Linked DNA regions of Nothobranchius furzeri. The protein of the gene in region 1 interacts with the protein of each later gene in a pairwise test. Links are inferred from orthologs where the notes say so. Each region holds a gene or a part of one and is shown in the gene's direction. Other genes may lie near its edges.

Region 1 (4,073 bases):
CCTCCTGTAATATTCCACTGGGTGCTGGTCCAAACATTTTAAAGGATTCTATTTTCACTTGTACCAGCCAGTAAAGATCTATAGACCTCGTGAATGTTGTTGTTTACATCTGGGCAAAATGCTGGAAGGCAAAATGAGCTTCTGCAGCTGCTATCCAGTCCTGTATCTCCACGATTTAAGTAAAAAAATTTAAACCTAGGGATGTAGGTATTACAATTTTTGATCGTCTAAGACGTCTTTGTGCAGATGATCGAAAAGTTAGATCTTGAAGCTGAGGGTGTTACAGGGATACTATGCAACTTTGAATATTTTAAAATCATTTTCCTGAGCCAGTATGTGCTAAAAGGACTGTTTACAAGCTTAATGTGTCCAGAATGTCACACTTGCAACTTCAGAGTTGCCGGGTTTTACGTGTACAGGTGAAACTTGAAAAATTAGATCATGATATAAAAGTTAATTTATTCCAGTAATTCAATTTAAAAGGTGAAACTAATATATGAAATGGACTCATTAACAGCAAAGTCACATATTTAAAGTCTTTATTATTGTGATGATTATGCCTTACAGCTTATTAAAACTAAATTCAAAATCTCAGACAAATTAGAATGTTTTGAAAAGGTTCAATAAGAATCAAAGTGTCACACTCTCAGCTAATGAATCCAAAACACCTACAAAGGATTCCTGACCCTTTAGATGGTCTCTTAGTGTGAGCTGAATAACCAACATAAATGGACTTTTACACCATATTCTAATTTTTCGAGATTCACCTGTACGTCTTCATTAAGATAAATTTATGGTTTGTGTGAACATTAATTTGACTTTTGAAAAAAACACTTGTCTTCCCTGGGGTGGCCAGCAATTTTTGTAGGGACTTGGCAGTGTGATGTCACATGTCAAGCGGTCTGTCAGTTTGATGAAAAAATATATTTGTTAAATTAAATAAATACTATTGAAAGTAGTTAAGTTGAAGAGTTTGAAACTGAAAAAGCAATTCGAGCCAGCCAGGAGTCGAACCTGGAATCTTCTGATCCAACATATCTATTGCGCCACTTGCCCGAAATATGAAATGCAGCCCAATTTTCTGATTAAAAACAGGATAAATACTAAAGTTTCTTATGTTTACATGTGCAGGGATACATTCTAATTATAGTATTTGATTTTCATTGCATAAAAAACCTTTCAAAACACATAACGGATCCTTTAAAAATATAACTAGACTTCGTTTTCAGCCTCTCAGTTGGTTTTGAGCGCCCTCTACAGGCAGCCATGATATACCCTGGCCAGATCCAGGAACAGAGGAGCGGAGCGGACGCAGCCTTTTCTCTCGCGAGGAACGACGCCGTTATCGGAATCCCCACAAACAACACGAGAATTCGTCATTCACACGGTAATATAACCCAATCTTACACGGTGCATGTTGTTGCGTGAGAGCAAAGGAAGAAGAGGCTTAATCAAAATGATCTTTATTTGCTGTATTCAACTCAACAAATCTTCGTCTGCTATCAAGCAGCCACAAGGCCTAACTAGCATGCTAACTACTAAGCTAGCTTAAATAGCGTCTCATTTCGCGCATCTAGCTTTATCGCTGGCAAGCAAGCTCACAAATCGGATGTTGTGTAGCTGCAGCTAACATTAGCCACCAGCTATCTAACAATTTTCAGCTTGCAAATCCAAATGCAAAGTTGAACAAAATGCAGGTGCAACAAAATTAGTTATGACACACAAAATTGTTGCAAAATAAGTGGTATTTCTGCTGCATGTAGAGCCTCCCGACCTCTAAATGGAAGCTAATGATTGCAGGTTGCAGTATAAACGTTGCAAGCAACTCTCGAAATAAGATTAGTCAGTTAAAAAATATATTAATGGGCAAGGATGTTAAACTGAGGAGATTGGCAATAACTAGCTCAACCATCAGCAAGACGTTTGCAGCTTGCAGGCCCAGCACTGCATCACAAAATCCCACTCAGTTTATTGTTTACATGATGTTCGAGTATGCCTGTTTTATGGATTAATTCTCTACAGAAACCATGAGATGTGTTCCTCTAAAATAAAAAATATGGAAGAGTAAAAGGAAGTACAAATTTATGCAGTTTATATAAAGGATTTATTGATACTTTGATACACGTTTCCACAGTTTTGCTCATGCAGCAGTTGCATGGAGGTCCTAGCTAAATATAGGAAATAAACACATAATTTTTTTTACAAATTATTCAAAATAGTAGACAGATTAAGAAATTGTAATATTTTTACCACTATTAATGAATTTGCTCAATTTTAGAAAGTGATATCTCAGAATAGAATATTATTATTATTGGTGCCCTATTGTGGAGATGTTCATAATCATTTAGAAAACTGGCCTTTAATAGAAATGACATGAAAAATTAACTTTAAAGGACAGATAGAATATACAAATCTCCAGAAAATTAAAAGATTAGCATTCCTTGAAGGATTCCATCATTCATGAGAGAATTTCATTTAAAGTCCTCTTTTTTAGAGGGGGCTGTTGGGAGTTGTATCTGTTTTGGTCCAGTATTGAAAATAACATTATGGGCAAGCTCAAGCAATATCACAAGATCTCCCACTATTTGTCACACCCTCCCTCACACACTCATATTTCTGCACCACCGCTGTCTTTTATGGCTAAAGGCTTTTTTTTTTTCATTTTGTCCTCAGATGGTTCTGCTGTTAATGTCACTAAAACTTATTTTTTCTGCTCTCAAACCAATCAACGGTACTGATAGCGTGAACAGCTTTGCCTTCAGGCGTGATACAAGTTTTTTGGTCACCCAGACTTTTATATGCAGTTATGTTAAAGTGGTACTTCAATGAAAAAACATTTAAAAATGATTATATCTGATTATAATCGGTCACTTTGAGTTTTTGATGCAGGCTGAACATGAAAATAGTCTTGTACACCTGTTTCCTGCAATAGCTTTTGATAGACAGTGAAATGCTAGGATTAAAAAATCCTGACAGATCTACATCATACTGTGACTTCACATTCTTGGACTCACCCATTTTGACTCACGATGGGGAAGGCTGTTGTCATTTTCCCATCCAGGAAAAAGCAGAGAATGTCTCGGCTTGTAGAAGCTAACTGTTAGTATTAGCAACTCCACCACATTGCAGAACTCCTCTATTCTTGTGTTATTTGCAGAGATAAAACATCAAGAATGTAAAGCAAATGGTAGAGTCTCTACCAGTGGTAGAGTCTCTTTGCTGTTAGCCAAACAGATGTCCAAATGTCAGGAAATAAGAGACCAAATCGTTCTGTGTTCAGCTCAACTTTGATCTGGCTAACTTCTAGTTTCTGAATTAGGCACACCGGAGCTTTGTTTCCCCAGAGTGCACCTTACAAGGCATTCGTTCCTACTTGAGACCACTGCAGATTATGTATTGTATGTGAGTAAAGTACCACTTTAAGAGCTTTAGTGTATTCCAATTTTTCAACGAAAAGTGAGCAAATGGTAATTCTACGGCAGCAGGCGTATCAAAACTTTGCATAGGTTATCAACTATACAGGAATGTGTTATATAATAAATATTCTCTTCTTTTCATGCCAGCTGTGAACAATGTCTGGGCAAGAGTTGGATGAAATTGTTCAAATAACAGTGGAAGATTTTGATCACAACAACCACTCTGGTAGGATTTCTTGTTATGTTACATTTTTACAGTGAATTAATCAATATTGACGTTTTTTACTTACCTTTTTTTTCATCAGATAGTTATATTCTTGAACGCAGCATTAGAAAACAACATTTTATCAGCCAAAATCAAATAAAAGTTGATTCTAAATTAGGTTTTGGGTCTGTTTTACTCTCTGCCGATTGTTTGCTGCACAGATTTATGCACCAGCCTTTTATATGGAATTGGGATTCAGCTCCAACTCGGATCTCCTGCTGATTACAGCATGAATAATACATGCCTGGACAGCAACTGAAATCAGCAAGAAGTGTGTTGGTGTGTCGGTTTGAGGGTGTCTCTATGTCTCGTTCATGCCAGACATGCTGGGCAATCACGAAGATGCTGAAGAAAGAACCCAGAAGAAGAAGAGAAAATTAAGCAACATCAAC
Region 2 (4,184 bases), on another chromosome or scaffold:
GTTTTTTTCCCTCTCACATACATTATAATTATTTGTATTAGTGATGATATTGTGTTTGCGTGTCCACAGATCACACTCTTCCACAACTGTCGGCCAGCGCTGAAGACGTTTCGGTCCACCACCTCCACCTTCTTTTTCCTGGTGGTGCTTCTGTTTGGCTGGACGTTGGCCCTGGTTGTTATGATTTACAGCCTTGCTGTGTGAGTGCTGACTGCTGCAGATTTATCCTTAATATTTCCAACAAAACAGCGTTTTAGAAAGTCAGAACAGTCAGGGCATCACTAAACACTTTAAGAAGGATTCTTTCCACCTCTCCAAACAGGATCAACCCTTCGATGGCGTGTGGGCCTTTCCGCTTCTTCCCCTCCATGTGGAAGATTGTTCCAAACTCTTTCTACTGTCTCTCTAAAGTTACACAGGATTTTCTCTTCTTCATTGGCTCACAGGCATTTTCCATACCTCTTTTTGCTTTATCATGGTGAGTGTGCATTTGTGAAATATTTATTATTTATTAGATTTAATCTACAGATTATCACAGTGCCTTTTTTCCTCTCTGCCAGCGTGATTATGTGCTATTTTGTAGCATTAGCTTCCATCTATGGAAAAAGTGTTGAGATGCTCAAAGCTCAGCTTAAGTTGGTATGTTGTTCCTACTTACAAAGATCAAGGATCATTTGTATAATATCCTCAGTGGTAGCTAATATTGTCCAATGTCATGTCTTTGATTTTCAGGAGGGTCAAGATAAGCAGTTTTTGGTCAAACAGATTGAAAGACTAAAGCTGCAACATCTGATGCCAGCACTAAGAGCAGAAGTACAAGACTGAACACAACCGATGACCACGTTTAGTTTTTCTGACCTAAATAATGAAGTAACTAATATGTCTTCTGGGGGGGAGAAATCTCATTAATCCAGACTAGATCTCATTTGACAATTACTATATTCATTTACAGCGTTTCTGTTGTGAAGCTGAAACAATAAGAGAATTTGTTATTTAAAGTCAGTATAATTTTGATTGTTGTTCTAAACATTAGTGTTGAATTAATAAACATGCACAGAATTTATTTATGATTTTGAGAGGCTATTTTTCTTTTGTATAAAACAACCTCGGGTGCAGAATCACCAAAAATGCTAACAAGAAAGAGCATGCATTTCACAAAATGCTACATTCCAAAGCCAACATATACTTTACCTTTTTGTCCTTTCATAATGAGTACATTGTTTTTGACATCTTTTGGTTATAGCAAAAAATATATATATTTGGGACATACCGGTAAATATTTTTGTGGCACCTGTACAAATACCAGTAGAGTTTCAGCGCCCCCTGGTGTTACATATTGTAATTACATAACACGATTATTGTTTACTTCCTGTTTAACTCTACTACTTCCTGTGAGCGCAACAAACCAGAAGCTACTCCTCCGTTAGCTCGTCATTGATAGCATTTATTATATTTTAGGAAAGTAGTCAACTTAAATAGATAATGTGAGTGAGTAAGGTCCACGTTATTTTCTTCTGCGTCATCACAAAACATTGGCAAGTACTAGCGACCTTCCCTATTTAGCTTAATTTCCTAAAAAGAAAGAAAACAGCGACGCATATTTGATTGTTGGGCGTATTTGAAAAATTCTGCTTCTGTATTTAGACATTTTGTCGAATAACCTGCTTATTTCTACTATACACCAATATATTAACTGACCAGAGTGAGTGTTTTCTCTTGTCGTTAGCTTTCTAAGCTAGCTGACTGCTAATTGTCGGTCACCAAGGCAACCATGAACATCCTCCCGAAGAAGAGTTGGCACGTCCGCAACAAGGACAACATTGCGCGCGTGCGGAGGGATGAAGCCCAGGCAGCAGAAGAGGAGCGCGAGGCCAAGCGTCGCGTGGAGCGAGCAGAGCAAGAGGTAGTCCCCCTCTGGTGTTAGCATGGTCATTCATTAGTCTTCACTCTCTCTCTTTCTTAACATTTTTTTTGAATCACAATTGTCTATTTTTGCTCATTTTAAATATATTTTTAAACATTTTCTAAATGCTTTTTTATTTTTTTACATTTTTGTTTTTGTGAAGTGCCTCGTGATTTTTATCTTTAGAGGCACTATAGAAATTATATTTTCTTCTTCTTCTTAATAAGCGATATAAGTATCATTACTACTGTGGAAAATGTATTTGAGTGCAACACAACTGTAACGCATAGAAAAACCACAAATCAGCCGAATGTACAGGGTACCTGGCACTTTAATTGAAATATTTAAGAAATTAGTTCTGGAAAAATGATCAAAAGTAAACAAAAGAGTTTCACAGATTTTAATCCTGACCATTTAAAACTAAATAAATACAGAAATAAATGTCTTTTGGGGAGAAAGACAAAAGAACCAGTCACACGAAGGTCAGGTGGATGTTTGGAGTTTGGAAAAGTGTAGAAATGTTAAGGTTATAGATGTTAAACAATCTGAATGCCACATGTAGATTAAAACCGCAGCAATGATTTCAGTAATAAGAAAAACTGAAAACATTCTGAGCTTCGTCACGTTCTCTCTCCTCGTTGATTCTATCTAAACCGCTGCGTGCACATATGAGGCAAGAGCACTTTATCATGAGTAACTTTATTACAATAAAGAGCCACAACAATAGTACCACTGTCAAATGTCCCAGACGATACACATAATTCAAAGTTGTATAATTTAGCAAATAATCTGCTTTACACAGTGCTATTTAGGATTTAGTTGCTTTCAGCTTGTTGCAAAAGCTCAGTTAGGTCCTATGTCTTCAGCTGCATTTGCTTACAATCCAAAATAACTATTTATTATTTATATCTTTAGTTTATTCTAACAGCTTTTTGTTTCTACAGGCGCGTACAGAGTATCTGAGAAGGAAATCTCGAGCTGCTCTTCAGTCAGAAGGAGGAAGCAGAGATGATGATGATGAAAAGGAAGGTGGAGGAGGCTTGGAGCACCTCAACCTCTTCCCTTTGGAGGAGTCTTCAGAGAAGAAGGGGAACGAGGAGTATCTTAAAGAAAAGAAAGAGGAAAAGGTGACAGAAAAACCTTAATACATGTGTGGATTATTTATTTTTTGGGGTTTTATATTTGCTTCAGTAACACCTTTTCCAGGGTATCCGCGGGTCCTTAAAAAGTCTTAAATTAGCTTTTCCAAATTTAAGGCCTTAAAAATCCTTAAAAATGACAAATAATCCTTAAATACAGTTTCCAGAGGTCTTAAATTACCAAAGACCCAATAAACAAGATTCTTTTATTTCTATAAAATTTTCATGAATTTCTAGTTAGCGTTCAGCATTTTTGTGTACGATGTTGCCGTAAGCGGAACCGTACACGTTCAGTTGGTTGTGAAAGGGGGCTATTTTTAGATGAGCACGTTAGCTGGTTAAGCTAGTGGGAGCTTGCGCCATGGGGAAGGGCAAGTTTAATGGTAACTGGATGGCTAATCCCATGATCGCGGCGTGGTTAGCACCGGTTCCAGGCAATAGCTGGAAATTATAGCTTAAATGATAAATGACCCGCACTTGTATAGCGCCTGTCAGAGGAAGGACTCCAAAGCGCTTTACACCACAGTGTATCATTGATCCATTCACACACACATTCACACACTGGTGGTGATGAGCTACGATGTAGAGGCGAGGCTGCCGAGCACAGGCGCCACCGGTCCCTCCGACCACCACCAGCAGGCAAGGTGGGTTAAGAGTCTTGCCCAAGGACACAACAGCAGAATTCTCTGTCCGGAGCCAGGATCGAACCTGCAACCTTCCGATTACTGGACAACCCGCTCAACCTGTTGAGCTACCGCTGCCTTGCTTAAATAGCTTAAATTTGGTCAAAGTGGCCTTAAAAAAGGTCTTAAAAAGTCTTAAATTTGTCTCCCTTAAACCTGCAGATACCCTGTTTTCAAAAACCCCTTTGTTTAAATATAATCTGCATCTTCTCATCCAGGAGAAGCAGGAACGCGCCATCGGCCTACTGGTGTCTTTAGGACCCCAGCCAGGCTCTGAGGTGACTCCGTGGTACCTGAAGAGCAGCAAAGACAAAGAAAGTCAAGAGAAAGACAAAAAGAAGGGAATAAGTGAAGAGGAGAAAGAGAAGAAGGATCGGAGGCTGAAGAGTAGTTTGGATCCCCTGAACGAAATGAAGAAAGCTCTAGACGTGTTTGAACGAAAAGTACCTAAAAACAGGA
Region 3 (3,500 bases), on another chromosome or scaffold:
TCTCTGTGGTCTAAGACTGAATGGTTACAGCAGAACTCCATCACTGTGCTCATGAAGCGACGATCTGTGGAAACGAACTCAGAGCTGTGAGGGAAACATGTTTGCTGATGATGTCGTACGCCCCCCCTTCAGCAATCCCTGGAGAGACAGAGGACAGCAGAGAAGGAGAGGCTCTTCCTGGTTTATGCCAAGCAGTGGTGGAGAGAGTTCCTGGAGATCCGACCTTCTCACCAGTCCAAACTGGTGAAGATCTTTGCTCAGGTCAGCTATTGTTGCTGAGTTCTGCCTCCCTCTTTAGCACTTCACATGCAAGTGACCACTTCCTCTGAGGTCTACTGGCTCTCTTACAGTGTGTGACGTGGTTTTGGGAGGAGAAATTCTCACACTTCAGCCTTAAATGTAATCTCTGAGCATTCCCTGATTTGTGGGGGGTGTCTGCACGCTTGACAGGATGAGAACGGAGTCAACAGACCAGTGTGTTCGTACGTGCGTGTCCTTCGTGCCGGCCGCCTCCTGGAGAGTCCTCGACAGGCCGCCCGCTTCGTCAGCCTGCTGGCTCACCAGAGGCCTCCAGTGGTGGGAGGGGGGGCCAAGCAGGAGCAGTGGTGCACATTACTGGCGTTCCTGTGCCGGGGGAAGGTACGTGCCTGGCGCTTCCTTTTGTTTCAGGACCGAGAAACACGTTTAGAGAATTCTCTCAACATCCACCTCGTAACAAAAGAGGTTGTCACAAACAGACATCACAGCAGATCCCAGCGACAAGAAACGAGTCCAAGGTGGTCATCGGTGTTTATACCAAGTCCTGTAGGGGGGTTAGGGCTATCAGTGAGCTGGTGGTGTTGGACGGTACTTTTTTCATTTAAAGGTGGACGACATGTAAAAGCCATGCGAACAGGCTTCATTTTGAAAAGTAACAGTTTTAAGGTCCAACCTTCTGTCTACAAGCCCTCGCTCTATAGTCATAGGAAGTGGTGTAACACCTGGTGCAGCGGATACGGTCAGAAACATGACGTTCTCTTAGGTCTTTTGTTGGTTCGTTCTGTCTTTGGTATGTTCTTGCTGTGTTGCTTTTCTAACGGCGTTGTTGGTTCTCTTTTAAAACACAGAAAAGGTTTCTTTTTACCTTGCTGCTGACAGTTTCGTTCGCGGCTGCAAACTTCCTCAGAGCTGACGCTGATGGTGGCGTCACTTCCTACTCCGTTTATCCGCGGTTCGTTCTGCGTTTCACTTCATAATCCATTACAGTTTAGTAAAAAAGAGTTTTTCACCTGACATCAATCAATCAATCAATCAAAGCTTTATTTGTAAAGCGCCTTCCTCAACCCTGTCAGGAAGCCCAAGGCGCTGAACATGGTACAGTAGAAGTACAAATATAGTGAATAAATCAAAAATAATAGCAATTCAGAAATAAAAGCAATTCAAATTACAAAATACAAATGACATGTTTCGACTGATGCCTCGAGCCATCATCAGAGATCGCTGGTGCTTCCGTTTGTCCGCGGGCTGCAGAGGACGGTGTTGAAGTCGTGTTTACCTGACCTGTAGTTTTCCACCTTTTAATAGAACGCTGTGGGTTTGGGGCTGTAGCTGCATCGCTTCCCTGCAGAGTTCTTATAGAAAACTTGTATTACCTCCTACATGCAGGGTGAGTGTGCTGCACTGAAAACTAACTAGCTTCCTCCTCTCAGAAATGTGGCCCGGCTGCCCTCGCATGACCCTAACTTCTGAGCAGGGCAGTGTTGTTCCTGAGGTCATCTTGCCTTGATGGTGGGGAGTTTCCCAGACCACCACAGGATAAATGTTCAGTTCCTCTTCTCTGTGAGAGGCCGGCGAGACAGACGCAGCACAATTCTGGCAAAGTGGTCCTTGTCAGTGGTGATTTATGAGTTTCATTCCAGGGAAAATTAATTTAGCCCATCAGTCGCCCACCTGTTCTGGTGCTGCCGTCCACATTAGCACTTCTGTGGAACATCTATCATCTAGCAGTCCCGGTTCAGCCGAGGCCTCTTCACTAGAAGGCTCGTTCAGCTGAAATGAGAGTAGTTAGGGTTATGTCTTCTTCTGCAGACTCGTCGCATATGAGAAAGCCCGAGAGTGCACCAAAAAGACTCATTCAGTTTTAAAACATCACAGGTGCTGCTGTTCCCCAGTTTGGATAAGAAAGATTTGCTGGCAATACAAGATTTGTGGTCAGTCGATCAAAACATAACCTAAGATCTCCCCAAGGTTACTTAGGATGATGCACAAACAGCTTAGGATCTGACAGAAGTAACTTAGGGTATCGTAAAAGGTGACTTTCCTCGTCCTGTGTGCTTTGTCCTTCCAGGGAGACTGTGAGGACCATGCTGCTCTCCTGTGCAGCCTCCTGCTGGGCTTTGGTCTAGATGCATACATGTGTGTGGGCACCAAAGCCAAAGGTGTTTCACACGCCTGGGTCCTGACCCGTGGAACCGACGGGACCATCACCTTCTGGGAAAGTCTGACGGCACATAGGTGCATTTTTAACGTTTGTCTTTGACATTTCAGAGAAAACCTAATTAGTCCACAGTGGTCCTTTGTTTTAGTGTGTGTGTGTGTGTGTGTGTGTGTGTGTGTGTGTGTGTGTGTGTGTGTGTGTGTGTGTGTGTGTGTGTGTGTGTGTGTGTGTGTGTGTGTGTGTGTGTGTGTGTGTGTGTGTGTGTGTGTGTGTGTGTGTGTGTGTGTGTGTGTGTGTGTGAGAGAGAAGGAGAGAGTGAGGGTGTGTCTGTGTGTGTACGTAAGTGTGTATGTACATGTGTTTGCGTTTTGTGTGTGTGTGTGTGAGAGAGAGAGAAGGAGAGAGTGAGGGTGTGTGTGTGTGTGTGTGTACGTAAGTGTGTATGTACATGTGTTTGCGTTTTGTGTGTGTGTGTGTGAGAGAGAGAGAAGGAGAGAGTGAGGGTGTGTGTGTGTGTGTACGTAAGTGTGTATGTACATGTGTTTGCGTTTTGTTTATCTGTGTGTGTGTGTGTGTGTGTGTGAGAGAAATAAACAGGATTAACTCAGAGTCTTATGATGAAATTTCCCTGAAACCAGCAGCCAGGCTTTGGCCCACAGGACATTTATTTCCTGTTTGCGTGATCAGATATCTGCACCGAGCCGTTGATCCAGACGCACCTCCCCTGGCCCTCCAACCCAAGCCTTCTTCCCCGTACCGGACCGTGGGCTGTGTCTTCAACCACCAGAGCTTCCTGGCAAACTGCCAGCCCTCTGATGCCGTAGAGCTCTGCGTCTTTGACTTCCAGGTCAGAACGCATTTTACCACAAACATCGGTTGTTCTGGCTTTTTGTTACTGTTTTAATTTGCTTTTCTTAACATTTAATGTTCCATTTAGACCCAGGGCCACTTTTGGCCCGCCTCTCATTCGATCTCTCCTGCAAACTAAGATAATAATGAATTTATCTTAAAACAGCCTTTAGCTTTTAGACCAACTAGCAAAACTATTAGCTCTGCAGGTCGGTCTAGCCACGCTCCATTGTAG
Region 4 (2,891 bases), about 8.1 Mb from region 1:
GTCTCTAAAATATAAATATATGAAAAAACAACATGTCATGAGAAAAATACTCATAAAACAACGTGTTTTATCTCTGTCGGCCTTGATGCACATTTATAAACAGAAACGTGAAGTCGCCATCTTAAAAAACAGAGGAACAGCGGTTTTGTGTGATACGCTTTTTAGCCATTAGATGGCGCCATCGGATAAATGGTAAATGGCCTGTATTTGATATAGCGCCTTCTAGAGTCTTGGAACCCCCCAAGGCACTTTATAACACAATCAGTCATTCACCCATTCACACACACCTTCACACACTGGTGGTGATGAGCTATGATGTAACCACAGCTGCCCTGGGGCACACTGACAGAGGCGAGGCTGCCGAACACTGGTGCCACCGGTCCCTCCGACCACCACCAGCAGGCAAGCTGGGTTAACTGTCTTGCCCAAGGACACAACGACAGCGACAGACTGAGCGGGGCTTGAACCTGCAACCTTCCGATTACGGGGCGAGCACTTAACTCCTGTGCCACCATCGCCCCGAGAGAAATACTCTGGAAAGAAGCTTTAAAATGTAACTTTATTGATATTGATTTTTACTCATTAATGACACATTTATCATGCACTTATCGTACCTCAAACTCTTCTCTAACCCAAACTCTCTCAAGGGAGCTAATTGTCTAATTCAGATTGAAGTAGTTGTCGAATTTTGCACAGATGTTTGCATTTTAAGTCTGGCTGATTGGCGATGGGACGTTAGTTACCTAAAATGATTTAGTTTCTCTTTATTTTTTATGAGGGAGGCTGCAGCATATATTGGTATTGGTTTAAATCGTATCAGAAATTAAGAGTCAGGCTATATCGGTTATCAATAAAAAAGCCAATACCGAACATCCATAGTACAAATGCATCGCTACATGAAAGGATAGGTTACCAGAGTTGGTCAGATGAAAACCCAAACATGTTACGTTTGTAAGATTGGAATCAAAGTGCTCCTTTTTTAAGAGTAAATATGCAAACTAAATGTGCTAGTTGTGATACACTTACCCACACTTGGCTTAAACATTTGAACCAATGCAACACAATGCTCAAAGGATTTTAGTGTGTATGAATAACGCATGGAGGTCTGATGTGTTCCAGCTGATCCATCTGGAGATTAAACCAGCCATCAGGAACCAGATCATTCGGGAGCTGCAGGTTCTACATGAGTGTAACTCTCCATACATAGTGGGCTTCTATGGTGCTTTTTACAGCGATGGAGAAATCAGCATCTGCATGGAGAACATGGTATATACCTCTTTATGTTTCACTAGGCACTTCTGAGTATTTAAGTCAATATTGTTGTTTTTTACATTCATGTCCAGCCACATTGGCAGGGACGAAATTTTGATTTCAGAAGTGGGGGGGACACACCCGGCTTGTGCGGATTTGGGGTGGGGGTGTTATGTAAAGACCCTTTGACACGTCACATGCCCATCTCAATAATTTTTCCATCCTCAATATATATATATATATATATATATATATATATATATATATATATATATCAAAGTTAAAAAATGTACAACTCTATTATCATTAATATTTATTATCATTATTGAAGTGCAGTTTTGGCTGTTGACAATGGATAGGCCATTGTATTTATTGTTTTGGGTCTTTTTTTATTGTTTTTGGTGCAACATTTTCTAACAGGGAGTGAGATTCTTTTTTTTATTTAATTTTTGTTTGTTATTTTTATTCATTTAGAAGTTCTGGTTCTGGACATTTCAATGTTAAATGAAGGTTTATTTGTTGCATTTTAAAGGGTGTACTTGCATTATTATGATATATTAACATTATATTAGTGGTTATTTTGGTCTAGATAATGTTGACAATGATATCGTTTATCATCAACAATTTTTTTGGACAAAATATCATCCAGCAAAATTTGTTACTTTCCCAGGCCTAGTCAAAAGTATAAAAAGTATTTATACATAAACGGTCCCTCCTGAGATCTGGCCGTTTGTTCATTTGCTGTGTTAGAGGACATGCTGAACTAATGTTTTACACATGATCATCACCCTAACATTTGTCACAATGATCAATTTTATGTCTATCGTATCTTCATTATTTCAACCTCACCTGTGAGCCTCCAGCCTCTGCTCCATCTCCTCCAGGCTCTCGTCCTCCATCTCCTCCAGCCTCTCCTGCTGTACCTTCACCGGTCTCTCCTCCTGCATCTCTGTCAGTCACCTGAAAAAAAGATGCATGAACTATAAACAGTGGGAGATTTTGGAATGGAACAAACAGAAATATTTACAGGATGGTTCTAGTATGATTCACAATTATTATTAATATAATGTGTAAATTATTCATTACCAATTTGAGTGTATAAAAACATATTAAATATGTTTTTTCCCTTAAACGTGTTTAAACAGTTGTTGCATTTCAACACACAAAAAATAAATGGAAAAAATAAGATAAATCTAATGAAAAGTGTACATCTTTGACATTAAGCTTAAAAAAATCTGTTGACGATGATAATACTGTTCATTTTTCAGAGCTTTTTAATGTGAAAATATACATTGCAATAGATAAGTTTACAATAAAGTTAAATGATAAAAGTTTTGAAGTTACACTTCTACTACTACTACTACTAGTAATAATAATTATGATAATAATAATTATGATAATAATAATAATAATAATAATAATAATACGAATAAATTGTGTCTGAGGAGTCAGTTATGTGGAGGAGATGAGTTTGTAAAAGTTAGTTTTGAGTATGTTTGTGAAGGAGGAGGTGAGTCTGAGCTTAATGCAGGGGTGTCACATGTTCCAACTTACGTCTAGACTTTGAAAGAAGTCTCTTATATCCACTTTTCGTTTTCTTGACATGCTGCCTCCTGGCTGTGCATAACTACCAAAGACTC
Region 5 (3,500 bases), on another chromosome or scaffold:
GCAACACAAGTCTTAATACTTCAGCTGAAAGCCAGAAAACAACTTAAGGCATCAAATCCTACACAAAATCATATAACTAGTTTAAATTTTAACCTTAGCCACGTGGTGCATCAAATGACTGCAGCAACACGGGATCGATACAGATCAAGGCTCAGAATTTAACTAGTTTGTACAGAGTCCACTAATAGGAAGTTTGTGCTAAGTTAATTAGCAACCAGATACTTTATTTCTCCATTTGGCAGATTTAAAAGTCCACAGCAGTCGGATAAATCTTCAGATCAGTGGGCTTTTTAAACACTCCTCAGAGCTGTGTTCATGAGCTGTTGTGATAAATTGTTTCCTTTTGAGCTGCAGCACCAGGGCAAAAAGAAAAAACATGACACCAGAATCCCCTTTTTGTCTTCCTCATAGTGCTGTGAGACCGAAGTCAAGGCATCCATCAACACTGGCAGCATACATAACCACATCTCCGTGTCCTGCTGCCAGAGGCTCGGGTAAGAAATGCCGTCTCTTCACAGCAAACACCCCACGGTTGCTGTATATTGATAAATAATATTTGGGATGTAGAGACAAACCAACTACACATAAAGAATGAGCTCAGATCAAATAGTTTATACCTAAAAAAGATAAATAAATCCAAGAAAAGAAGTTCAAAGATGTTTTCTAACAGCATGTTGGCTGCCAAGAGCAGTTTGTGAAGTATGTCTTAATCTTGCAAAGAAAGAAAAAATAAAAGCTTTTGTTTTACATGTATGGATCTCAACTGGATTAAGAATCTTTGAAATATAAATTATGAATTCTAAAATCAACACAGCTTTATGGCGATCACTAAAATCAGCTAAAACCAACCTTTTCATCCTGGCTGCTGTATTTTTGGTAGTGGTGGTTTACAAAAATGTTGTTGCTGTTTATCAGGACTAAAATCAGTTAATAGGGTTCTCTGATCAGAATCACCGAGTCCCTAAATGTTCATGTACAGATCCGAGCATTGTAGATGAAGGCCGTCTCTGCAGGCCTTTTCACGCATTCAGATTTTCTGGCAGCATCCTTGCTAGACGCATAACAAGCCCGCACAGCTGTCAGCTCAGACAAAAGTTGGAACGATCATCTCTTCCCAGGATTGGCCTCACTACAGTCAAGGGTGTTCCCTGCTTTGCAACAGGTTCACATCAGCATGACATGCTTGTAGCTTTTACTCTATTTTTCCAACAAAATCTGTTTCTGGAAGGCAGCTACCCAAATATTGAAACCACAGAAAGTTGTGCAAGTGTGACTGTGTGATTTGTGTGTTGTTAGACTGGTGCCCAGTGAGGACAGTTCTCCATGTGGAGTTAACAGCTCAGTGACGGGTTTGCAGCTGCAGCTGGGCAGACAGACGGCCCGATGTTCAGCATATGTGAAAGGTAAGAATATCAGTTAGAAAACTAACTGCATCTGGAAGACTCAAATTCTTAAAGACTAAAGTAACTATGTTAACTTCTCTGGATGGAAGGCTGCACTTTGGTGTAGTGGTGCCTTGAGCTAAAGTGCTATCCTTAGCTAACAGGTTCCAACAAATTTACATGACCGTTACAGAATATATTTAGCATGTTAGCATCACAGCCATCCTATATGTAGATGACTCATGGGCTGACACTGCCTATTGGAGCTGGCGTAGCGGCTAGCCGCTGTCTTGGAGCATTTATTTCTACAGACGAATGTGCTTACCCAACTAAAAAAACACATATTTTAATGCTTTTTCACAAAATCAGACATATGATATGGCATGACAGTTAAAGTATATTTAAATAAAATAAATATAAATCCCAACAGGTATGTTAGAAAAGTTAACAGTAATCCCACATGATCTGTTCTCAACAGTACACCGGTTTTTGCAACAGTAGGCTGCACATAATGGGCACAGTTGCTTACCCTGCATTGACTCCAATTGGGTTTGGACAGTGAGGAGACCCAACCAATATGGCGGTGACGCTGTTACGCTTTCCAGTACCTAATGGGCTTTCTACGTATTCGTGTCTATAGTTAGCATACCAACGTTTTCTACTCAATACTAAACACATCTATATTTATTACTTAGATCTGAGTAAATGTACATCATCATGAAGGTTGTCCTAAATGATTATTACTCATTATGCACTCACGTATTAATCAACAGAACACCACTGGTGTGTGAGGTTATCCACTCAATAATATCAGACAAGAAGAAACAGCCAGCTTTAGGACAAACTACCAGAGTCCCAAAACAAAAACCACCATTTAAAGTCACGGAGAACTAAAGACGTTTAGACCTAGAAAACGGCGACTGGTGTTTAGCGCCATCTTGTTTCCTCTGGCATTGTGGGGTTCTGGTTCTGGCAGAAGTATCCCAGGGAAGATCCTAGAGGGGAGGGGGTGAGTGCTGCGTGACCTTGTTTGCGTTCAAAGCCAAGTTTGTCTGCAGATTCGCTTTAGCTGCTTTAACTGTATGCCTGGTGTAATATTACATGCCCAAAGGGGTTTCCAACTTGGTTCTCATGTGTTCTTGTCAAAGGTAGAATAAAAAAGAAACATCTGCATCAGTTGTGTTACAGAAAATCCAAAATGAGCCATACTGTGACAATGGAAAAATCTAGATTATGATAAACTGTGGACCCACCACCCGCAGGAGGAACATGAAGGGTCCGGTGCAGTGTGGATCGGGTGGCAGCCCGAGGCGGGAGCCTTGGCGGTCCAATCCCCGGACAAGGAAACTGGTTTTTGGGACATGGAACGTCACCTCGCTGGCGGGGAAGGAGCAGGAGCTTGTGGCAGAGGTTGAGCGGTACCGGCTAGATATAGTCGGACTCACCTCGACACATGGCTATAGCTAAGTTTACATGTGCCAAATTTCCTCAATCCAATTGAAATCTTGGTTGATCGGAATTTCCGAATCTCTGTTCACATGGACACGAAATGAAATGATCCGATCATGCCGTGCGTACATACGCACCAAGCATTTAATCCGAATAAATAGGTTGAGCATGCGCAGAGTTGCCTTTCCCGAAAGAGAAATTGTAAACAAACGCCATGAAACGAAATGAAAAGTGTAAAAACAGAAATAACTATTCTTCCTGCTTTCCTGATCCATTTATTCAATTTAATGTTTTTATTTAGCTCATAGAAGTTACGTTTTCTTCAGTGAATAACTGCAGATATATGCTTTGCTGCATTTTATTGTTGATTAAAATAAGGGAGGGTTATGTTTCTGCCTCTTGATCAGCTGGTCCGCGGGTCTGAAGTGACAGCTGCGGCACAGAGCGGGGTGGGGGGTGGGGGTGGTGGGGTGGGGGGGTTAGACTCATGTTTTATTACTGAGCTCTGTTGTGGCTTATTATTAATAACATGTGACAATCAGCTGAAACTGTTGGGAAAAATCTGTTCAAACAAAATAACAGAAGATGTTCAGAAAGTTTGAAGCCTGTGTTCATCATTAACGAACCGCATCTCAGGTCATCTGCGTTTACGTGCGTTTAACACGGACT
Region 6 (3,500 bases), on another chromosome or scaffold:
GATCCACATCCCCTGGCAGCCCCATAGTCCTTACCATCCAGCAGGGTCCTGCCCGCAGCAACACCTCTGGCTCTGCCAACATTCAGTACCAGGTGGTTCCACAGATCCAGGTGATGCCACAAGGAGGCCAGATCCAGCTCATACCAGGCACCAACCAGGCCATCATCACCTCTCCGGTGACCGTTCCAGCCCCCTCTGCAGCCACTGCGCCGGTCACTCCGCAGAAAACTGTTGCCATCAAACCTTCCCCTAAGGTACAGAAGCCAAATAACACAGCTGCAAATGTGGTTCAGTTCCCTAGTGGACTCGCACTTCCCCTCAATGTGGCGACCGGAGAGGTGGGCGGGACTCCAGTGGTCACAGAGACTGCCACTGCCCCCTCCACACCTGGAAAGGCTCGACGAGGGAGGAAGAAGAAGGTGGTCCTGCCTTCTGAGCCTCTGCCACCTGCTCCTGCTCAGGCTGCCTCCCCATCCCCAGAGCAGATGGAGACCATTGTAATTGAAGCTGGTGACAACATCATACAGGTGCAGTTACTTATTTTCACTTATACATCATGCAATATGGCAATATTTTTTAAAATATCTCTATCATTTTAAACAAATTTATATCATGTAACTCGGCTAGCCGCTATGCTAGCGACTAGGTTGCTCCGTCTCAAAGCGGTCATTACATGTATTCTCACAAGTTTGCTCAGTCAGAAAACCTCTGGGTCAATGTTTTGCCCTAAACTTAGCATTTGGCATCCTGGGTTTTAAGTATTTGGGGATGTCTGTTCGCGTTTCAGCGAGCCTTTCCACCGTGGCGGTCAACGGAGCTCTGTTTATCCTGCAAGTGCGGAGAGGTGAGCAAACCTCTCCCCCGTGTAATCAGGACGCATCTACGCTGAGCCAGAGTGGCCAAATGACCTCAAACCTGTTGTAACGATTAGAACAGTTAACACTAGGGCAGGGGTGCCCAATCCTGGTCCTGGAGGGCCGGTATCCTGCATGTTTTAGTTTGAATTCTGTTTCAACACACCTGATTTCAATCAGCAGCTAATTAACAGGCTTCTGCAGAGCCTGATGAGCTGCTGCACAGGTGTTTCAGCCACTGAATCAAGTCTGTTGGACCAGAAAAACCACAAAACCTGCTGGATACCGGCCCTCCAGGACCAGGGTTGGGCACCCCTGCACTAGGGTTAACGTTTTATTTTGAAGGTGAGTTCAGCGGGTGGGAGTGGTTGTTCCGGTTCCTGTTTTTGCCACTTTGTTAGGCTCGTAAATGCTCTGTTATGAGCGAGTCTGTGGGAAAAGTTAAGAGTTTGTAAGGCGTGGGTTATGGTGACAGTAGTCTGAAAATAATACCCATAAAACAGCCACAAGAGAGTCTGAGTCATTACAAAATGATCGCTGATATGAGTCAATACCGTCAGGTTTCAGCCATGTTTGCCCTAATAACTAGTCACACCACAGTTGCATCACGAATTTAGCTTCACATGATAGATTTTTATTCTCTGGAGAAGAAATAATTACTGGTAATACTGTGGATGATAGGATTTGGGCCACCCCTAGATGGAATTTAAATTATTTTACATTAATTATAAATATACAGGATTTCCATCAGAAAACGTGCTTGACCCTGTGTCGCTACCAGATCGGCTCGGGGTCCTGCACCTGCTGATGATGTCACAATCTGGCAAACCCACTCGGCTTTCACACTTAGTTTTGGAAAGACATCAGCAGTTTTGTTAATTAATTCTTGTTTGTTACCACCTAAATGTTTTCTTTATCACTGTAGTAACACCATATTATCTTTGTTTTGTAAAGAATGTGAAACTGCATAAAACCAACATCGGACTGCCCAAAGACCACAGTTCTTACAGGTCCTTCTCAAAAAATTAGCATATTGTGACAAAGTTCATTATTGACTGTAATGTACTGATAAACATGAGACTTTCATATATATTAGATTCATTACACACAACTGAAGTAGTTCAAGCCTTTTATTGTTTCTAATATTGATGATTTTGGCGTACAGCTCATGAAAACCCAACATTCCTATCTAAATAAATTAGCATATCATGAAAAGGTTCTCTAAACGAGCTATTAACCTAATCATCTGCAGTGTTTCCCCTAGGAATTTTTCCAGCTGTTGTGGTGGTGGTGGTGAAATTATGACACGTCTCATCTTTATGTTAATATTGTTTTATTTGATGCACTCCACTCTGAACTGCACCAATCCAGCAACTGCTGCATTTTAATAACTGGTATTAAAGGTGAATACGTACACAGATGAATGCACCTCTTATTTATTATTAGGAAATTAGTGGGCGTGGTTTACATCAATACATTATTTTAAGTCTGAAATTGATATGGATCGATCAGAAGTTGCTATGTGTGTTTATTAGAAAACTATTTACAGAGCAGCCTCAGAACTGAGATTAAATAGTTTTGATCACAATAGTAAAGAAACTATTACAGAACAAGTTGTTCAGTAAGATCAGAACATTAATATTTAAGTGCATGAATTAATGCATCTGAACTCATGCAGTAGGAACTAGGAAATATGAAATACTAGAACCATTTTATTTTCATTTGATTAAACTGATTTTTCCTAACGTTGTTGGCATTTTTCCCCACACACAGTTAAACAAAACAATGTTGATTAAGGTGTGTGTGTGAGAGATAGAGAGAGGGAGAGAGAGAGTTAAAATAATAAAAAAAAAACGACCAGAGCGGAGGCAGTGACCGACGCCTGCACGAGCCGTTTTCAGCTCTGTCTTGTCAAATGCACCACGTACGTTACGAAAAAAGTAACTTTATATATTCAACCGAAAAAGAGGCGAGCTGAAGAAAACCTAGGGAGTTCTGAAGAAACGTGAGCAACAGTGAAGCAAGCACAGAGAGATCCGTTATTGTGTGTGTGTGTGTGTGTGTGTGCGTGTGTGTGTGTGTGTGTGTGTGTGTGTGCGTGCGTGCGTGCGTGTGTGCGTGGATGGGCCAGACGGACTGAGCTCCCGGCTACAGTTTTGTGTGTAGGGAGGGGCGGGCGCTCTATGTGACTGGCCAATCACAGAGCGTGAAGACAGTCAGTTACCCGATGAGGATTTTCCTTCAGCACGATTACAGATATTTACCAGTTTTACTCGTTTCATGCTCGTATTCGTAAAAAATGCTTTATCCGTACCGGATACTCGTCTGAAACGAGTATCCGGCTCATCCCTAGCTGTAACCACCCTGCCCTGCCTCCTCCTCCAGGCTGCCTGCTGGCTGTGATCACAAGAAACAACAGAGTAGTTCCCGCTGCTTCTTCGGGAAACGGCGCAAAAAAAATCAATAAAACTTGGGATCTTGTAGGCGTGGCGCTGGGATTTCAGCCGTGGCGGCCCGCCACGGCTACGCCTATGTAAGGGAAACACTGATCTGAATCAACTAATTAACTCTAAACACCTGCAAAAGATTCCTGAGACTTTTAAACTCTCCCAGCCTTAATTACTCAAAACCGCAACCATGGGTAAG
Region 7 (4,099 bases), on another chromosome or scaffold:
CTGCCTCATGTTAATGCAGAATAGACTGGCATTATGTATTCACATGTATGTGTGACTACATTGGTGATTCATGTAGGTCTAAATCTGTAACGAGAGTGATCAGTCAACAGTCAAAAAGACTGGAGGAAAGTTTTCAAGACATCCTTTCAAAAATGTATTTTAATTTATTGTTACTATACAACTTTTCCAAAAGATGTGCACTATAACTGTGTGTATATATACAAAGTTATATATATATATATCTGTGTGTGTGTGTGTGTGTGTGTGTGTGTGTGTGTGTGTGTGTGTGTGTGTGTGTGTGTGTGTGTGTGATTGATGTTCTGCTTTCACTAAAAAGAAAACGCTTAGCATAACATAAGAAAATTGATATTCCACATAAACATAATGATATGTATGAATAAATAAATAAATTCTTGCTTGATTAATACATGTTTTATAAATGAATACGTTTGTCGAATTACAAACAAGTCTAATTTCTATTGTTCACTTTAAGTTAGTTTTACACGAATTCAGTTATTTGGGAAATAAAAAGTTATAAAAACAGTAGAATAAGCCACACTAGGCGTCTGGTGCTCTACAGCTACCTGGAGCACTCAGGTGTGACGCAAATAAAAACTGACATTTCGACACCATGCACCTGACGAAGACACACATGGGGTCGAAAGATTAGTCTTTGTCTGCATCTAATAACTACTTACTCGCCTGAGTGCTCCAGCCCCCTTATTTATAAGTTATGAACACATTCAGCAGGTTTTCTTTAGTTTCACTAGGACTGGGATGACCCCGTTAAGAAAAACTCAATCTTTACAACTCAGTAAACTTACAGGCGTCATTCGTAATTTGTTGAATGAACAAAACCGCGTGAGATCGAAACATCTTTTAACGTGGAATAATTACATCAAAACAATTAAAACAACCCGTGTGTCAAAGTAGCATTAGCATTTAGCTTCACTAAATTACCTCGTTTTTTCAAACCTCTTCAACGGCGACTTGTGCGACTCAGTGCTGCAACTAATCCCACTTTCGGGATTATTAAATACGTCAAAACGTATGTGTAATCATTTTAGAGAACGATATTCCTATGAAATAACTGGCTGGATTCGTTAGCTCAAATGAAAAACATCCAATTTGCTACCACCTGTCAACAAAGGCGCAGGATGATGATGATATTTTTGTAACGTTTGAGGAGTCTGTTGAAAGCAGTCGGTTTGTAGTCTGGCATCTACCTTATGAACTTTCAACGACCAACTATCAGTATCAACGCGTAACTCCACCCACTCGGTGCAACCCGTACAAAGAAACAAACCCACTCTCCGAGAGCTCTGTCGCTTGTTGATGAAGCTTACCATCGACTGGAATATTTCCTCCTTTAGCTAGCATGTGTCGCCTGTGAGAACCTTGAGCTTGAAGTAAGTAATCGTTTTTAGTTTAATCCACAGTTTTATTGTGCCTTTGATGATTTCGTGACCTTAAATTATCAGTAATGTTTTTTTTAGACAAGTAAAAATGGTTGTTATTGACTTGCAGTTAGTTGCATTCACGGAAAAAATGCCTCCGACCTTCAGTCAACAACTAAACTGTGCTATCAGATAGTAGCCTAAAATTCATGGTTTGTTTATGCCTCGACCATTTTTCACGCGATCAATTTAATTAGATATAGGACCTGGTTGTCCTGAACGTCTATTTGGGGGAGAAATATTTAAAAGAGCATGACAGTTATTGGTTTAGTTAATAAAACAATTTCCCCCGATAATATTTTAGTGCTTGGAATTTAAAATGTTATTGTTCCTTTGGGTTTTATTTTATTAATTTTTTAGTTAATTAAAACATTTAATAAACTTATTTACCGACAAACAACAATTAGCTTAGTTCAGGCTTTCTGGTTTTTTGTTCAAAAACTGTTACTATAATTATGTTTTGGCCTTGTAACTGATGAAAAGAACATCATAATGTGTTGTAATATTGGAGAGTTGGAATCATCTATTTTTTCATCCTCCTCTGAAACATTATGGTCTTCTGAGTTTCATAATTTCTGTGAGCAGTTTGTTTGAGGACGCAGAGCCATGCACGAACACTTATCAGATACCCTTCAGTGTTCTTTTCTAAAGCAAACAGAAGGAGCATGCGGGCTGACCAGCTGGCTCCTACTGCTGGAAGAAGCAGAGGTGTGTCTGCAGCTGCTGTGAAATCTACAGGATGTGAGGCTACAGTATCCTACCGACCACCTGTGTTTCACTTTGTGTGCTTGACTTCCTCTCTAAAGAGATCTGTCACCTTCCCACATCTCTGCCCATCAGCTCTACCACAGAGTGGCAATTCATATCAGCCTGTCAGGAAACCTCCCAGCCGTGGCTGCTTGTTATGGGTTTTCACTGGCAGAAACAGAAGAGTAGCCTAAATATTTCCGTTTAGTTGTAGCTAAATTTGTGGACAGAGTCCTGAATTACCAGAAAGGATGAGGGGTATAGGTTAGGTACATTTGTAGAGCATATCTGTGACAGTTTTTGCAATATTTTAAATATCATTGCACTGAAATATCAAGATACTTTTTGTTATGATACTGAATCCATATTTTAAAGCAGTGTGTCAATTTTTATTGAGAATTTACATAAAAACATTTACTGTATTTCTTTTGTGTGGTGCTATTCAAACTCTGCCTGTAGGTGGCAGCAATTTTTACCGCCTTCATTCCGACGGAACAATGAGATCTCGCAATAACACCGGGCGTGTGTCTTGGAAGCGTCTAGCCTGAGTTTTGCAGTTAAATTCTGCCCTAAAAATTGCAAATATCTGTTTTTTTTTTTTTGTACCGCAAATTATCTAGTGGTCTGTCCTGCATCTTGATATATGGAGTTTAGCAAGATTCTTGCTAATACACACCCCTAACAATTTATTATTTTCTTTAGAAATATGTTTGTTTTGAGTAAAGATTTGACTTCTGAAATCAAAACTTTCAATATTTTTAAAACAAACAATTATTTTTCCTCAAAATAAATGCAAACCTATCAGTGAAATCTTTAGACTTCTCAAAAATATTTCCAATTTGTGTGTCTCAAAAAAGAATAAGTGCTGAAGCTCACTTGAACACTGTGAATTTTCTTACAGGTGTTGAACACTCGTTCAGGGTTTCCCTCAGCTCTTTTTAAGCGTGCTTAGGCCCCCACCAGGCCAAGCGTCTACCCCCCACCCGCAGTCACAGACGACGCTCGGTGGCGGAATGATCTGAATGCACCTCCCCACCCACCCCTGCATTCACAGTCCGCCAGGCCTAGCAAGTTTTCTGGGGGAAACCCATGAAACGCAGCTCGTTTAATCAATACATTTTCATTTGGGGGTGTGGGCAAGCTCAGATGTGCTTATTTCAGGAACTAGCAGAATGCCACATTAGAGGACGGCTTAACATGACAGGATTTGGAGCCTTACTTATTGATATTCGGACATCTCGCCTCTGATTGGATAACAGCAACACAACTCTACCACACTAACTCGGTTTGCTCTGCGACATAGATGTTTTAGCTCCACAAAAAACTCTAACCTGGAGGAGTTCTGCTATGTGGTGGCGTTGCTAATGCTAAAAGTTAGCTTCTGCTAGCTGAGATGTTCTCTGCTGTTTCCTGGACGCTAAACCCACAACAGCCTTCCCTGTGTTGAGTCAAGATGGTGAGTCCATGAATGTTAAGTGACAGTGTGACGTAGATCTGTCAGGCTTTTCAAATCTTGTAAAAATGTTGTTAAAGAGGTTTCACCATCTATTTTCTATCAAAGCTAATGCAGGACATAGGTGTTGGAGACTTTTTTCATGTTCAGCCTGCACGAAAAACGCAGAGTGACTGATTATGATCAGAAATTATCATTAAAAATGTGTTTTTCAGTGTAGATTTTCTGCTTTTTTTGGCTTCAAGTTGGAACTCCCCAAAATATCCCTGCTATATTTAGTTAATTCTTCTCTATGGGATGATTTTAATGCAGCAGAATGGCACACGTACATATAAAAGTCATAAATACTCCTCAGACTGTAAGGAATGCCAGTGAGGGAACATTTCACCACAAGCTGTCCACAGCCTCTGACTGTGACAGAATTGAGTTTCTTTCTGTGTGG

Evidence for each region.
Region 2: the proteins of banp (region 1) and leng1 interact in binary tests that used the Homo sapiens proteins (3 or more experiments, as listed by UniProt). The two-hybrid records come from large-scale screens. The link is inferred for Nothobranchius furzeri from reciprocal best matches to the Homo sapiens genes BANP and LENG1.
Region 3: the proteins of banp (region 1) and cep76 interact in binary tests that used the Homo sapiens proteins (3 or more experiments, as listed by UniProt). The two-hybrid records come from large-scale screens. The link is inferred for Nothobranchius furzeri from reciprocal best matches to the Homo sapiens genes BANP and CEP76.
Region 4: the proteins of banp (region 1) and map2k1 interact in binary tests that used the Homo sapiens proteins (3 or more experiments, as listed by UniProt). The two-hybrid records come from large-scale screens. The link is inferred for Nothobranchius furzeri from reciprocal best matches to the Homo sapiens genes BANP and MAP2K1.
Region 5: the proteins of banp (region 1) and nrip2 interact in binary tests that used the Homo sapiens proteins (3 or more experiments, as listed by UniProt). The two-hybrid records come from large-scale screens. The link is inferred for Nothobranchius furzeri from reciprocal best matches to the Homo sapiens genes BANP and NRIP2.
Region 6: the proteins of banp (region 1) and sp2 interact in binary tests that used the Homo sapiens proteins (3 or more experiments, as listed by UniProt). The two-hybrid records come from large-scale screens. The link is inferred for Nothobranchius furzeri from reciprocal best matches to the Homo sapiens genes BANP and SP2.
Region 7: the proteins of banp (region 1) and mrrf interact in binary tests that used the Homo sapiens proteins (3 or more experiments, as listed by UniProt). The two-hybrid records come from large-scale screens. The link is inferred for Nothobranchius furzeri from reciprocal best matches to the Homo sapiens genes BANP and MRRF.

Annotation. Positions count from the first base shown.
Region 1 is NC_091744.1:74,163,874-74,167,946, reverse strand, and holds the start of banp (protein BANP), read left to right. Parts: upstream 1-1,273; 5' UTR 1,274-1,387; intron 1,388-3,319; exon of another isoform or gene 3,320-3,402; intron 3,403-3,563; 5' UTR 3,564-3,572; coding exon 3,573-3,642; intron 3,643-4,002; coding exon 4,003-4,073. UniProt on the Homo sapiens protein: Controls V(D)J recombination during T-cell development by repressing T-cell receptor (TCR) beta enhancer function. Binds to scaffold/matrix attachment region beta (S/MARbeta), an ATC-rich DNA sequence located upstream of the TCR beta enhancer.
Region 2 is NC_091745.1:76,666,511-76,670,694, reverse strand, and holds the start of leng1 (leukocyte receptor cluster member 1), read left to right. Parts: upstream 1-1,384; 5' UTR 1,385-1,535; intron 1,536-1,726; 5' UTR 1,727-1,771; coding exon 1,772-1,903; intron 1,904-2,847; coding exon 2,848-3,030; intron 3,031-3,943; coding exon 3,944-4,184. Other genes in the region: voltage-gated chloride channel TMC4, read left to right, coding at 70-200, 323-478, 561-639, 733-825.
Region 3 is NC_091745.1:49,058,745-49,062,244, forward strand, and holds part of cep76 (centrosomal protein of 76 kDa), read left to right. Parts: intron 1-132; coding exon 133-261; intron 262-450; coding exon 451-639; intron 640-2,326; coding exon 2,327-2,493; intron 2,494-3,103; coding exon 3,104-3,263; intron 3,264-3,500. UniProt on the Homo sapiens protein: Centrosomal protein involved in regulation of centriole duplication. Required to limit centriole duplication to once per cell cycle by preventing centriole reduplication.
Region 4 is NC_091744.1:66,078,917-66,081,807, reverse strand, and holds part of map2k1 (dual specificity mitogen-activated protein kinase kinase 1), read left to right. Parts: intron 1-1,119; coding exon 1,120-1,266; intron 1,267-2,891. UniProt on the Homo sapiens protein: Dual specificity protein kinase which acts as an essential component of the MAP kinase signal transduction pathway.
Region 5 is NC_091741.1:39,325,507-39,329,006, forward strand, and holds part of nrip2 (nuclear receptor-interacting protein 2), read left to right. Parts: intron 1-411; coding exon 412-494; intron 495-1,296; coding exon 1,297-1,403; intron 1,404-3,500. UniProt on the Homo sapiens protein: Down-regulates transcriptional activation by nuclear receptors such as NR1F2.
Region 6 is NC_091747.1:67,530,149-67,533,648, forward strand, and holds part of sp2 (transcription factor Sp2), read left to right. Parts: coding exon 1-527; intron 528-3,500. UniProt on the Homo sapiens protein: Binds to GC box promoters elements and selectively activates mRNA synthesis from genes that contain functional recognition sites.
Region 7 is NC_091746.1:50,179,166-50,183,264, reverse strand, and holds the start of mrrf (ribosome-recycling factor, mitochondrial), read left to right. Parts: upstream 1-1,299; 5' UTR 1,300-1,409; intron 1,410-4,099. UniProt on the Homo sapiens protein: Responsible for the disassembly of ribosomes from messenger RNA at the termination of mitochondrial protein biosynthesis. Acts in collaboration with GFM2. Promotes mitochondrial ribosome recycling by dissolution of intersubunit contacts.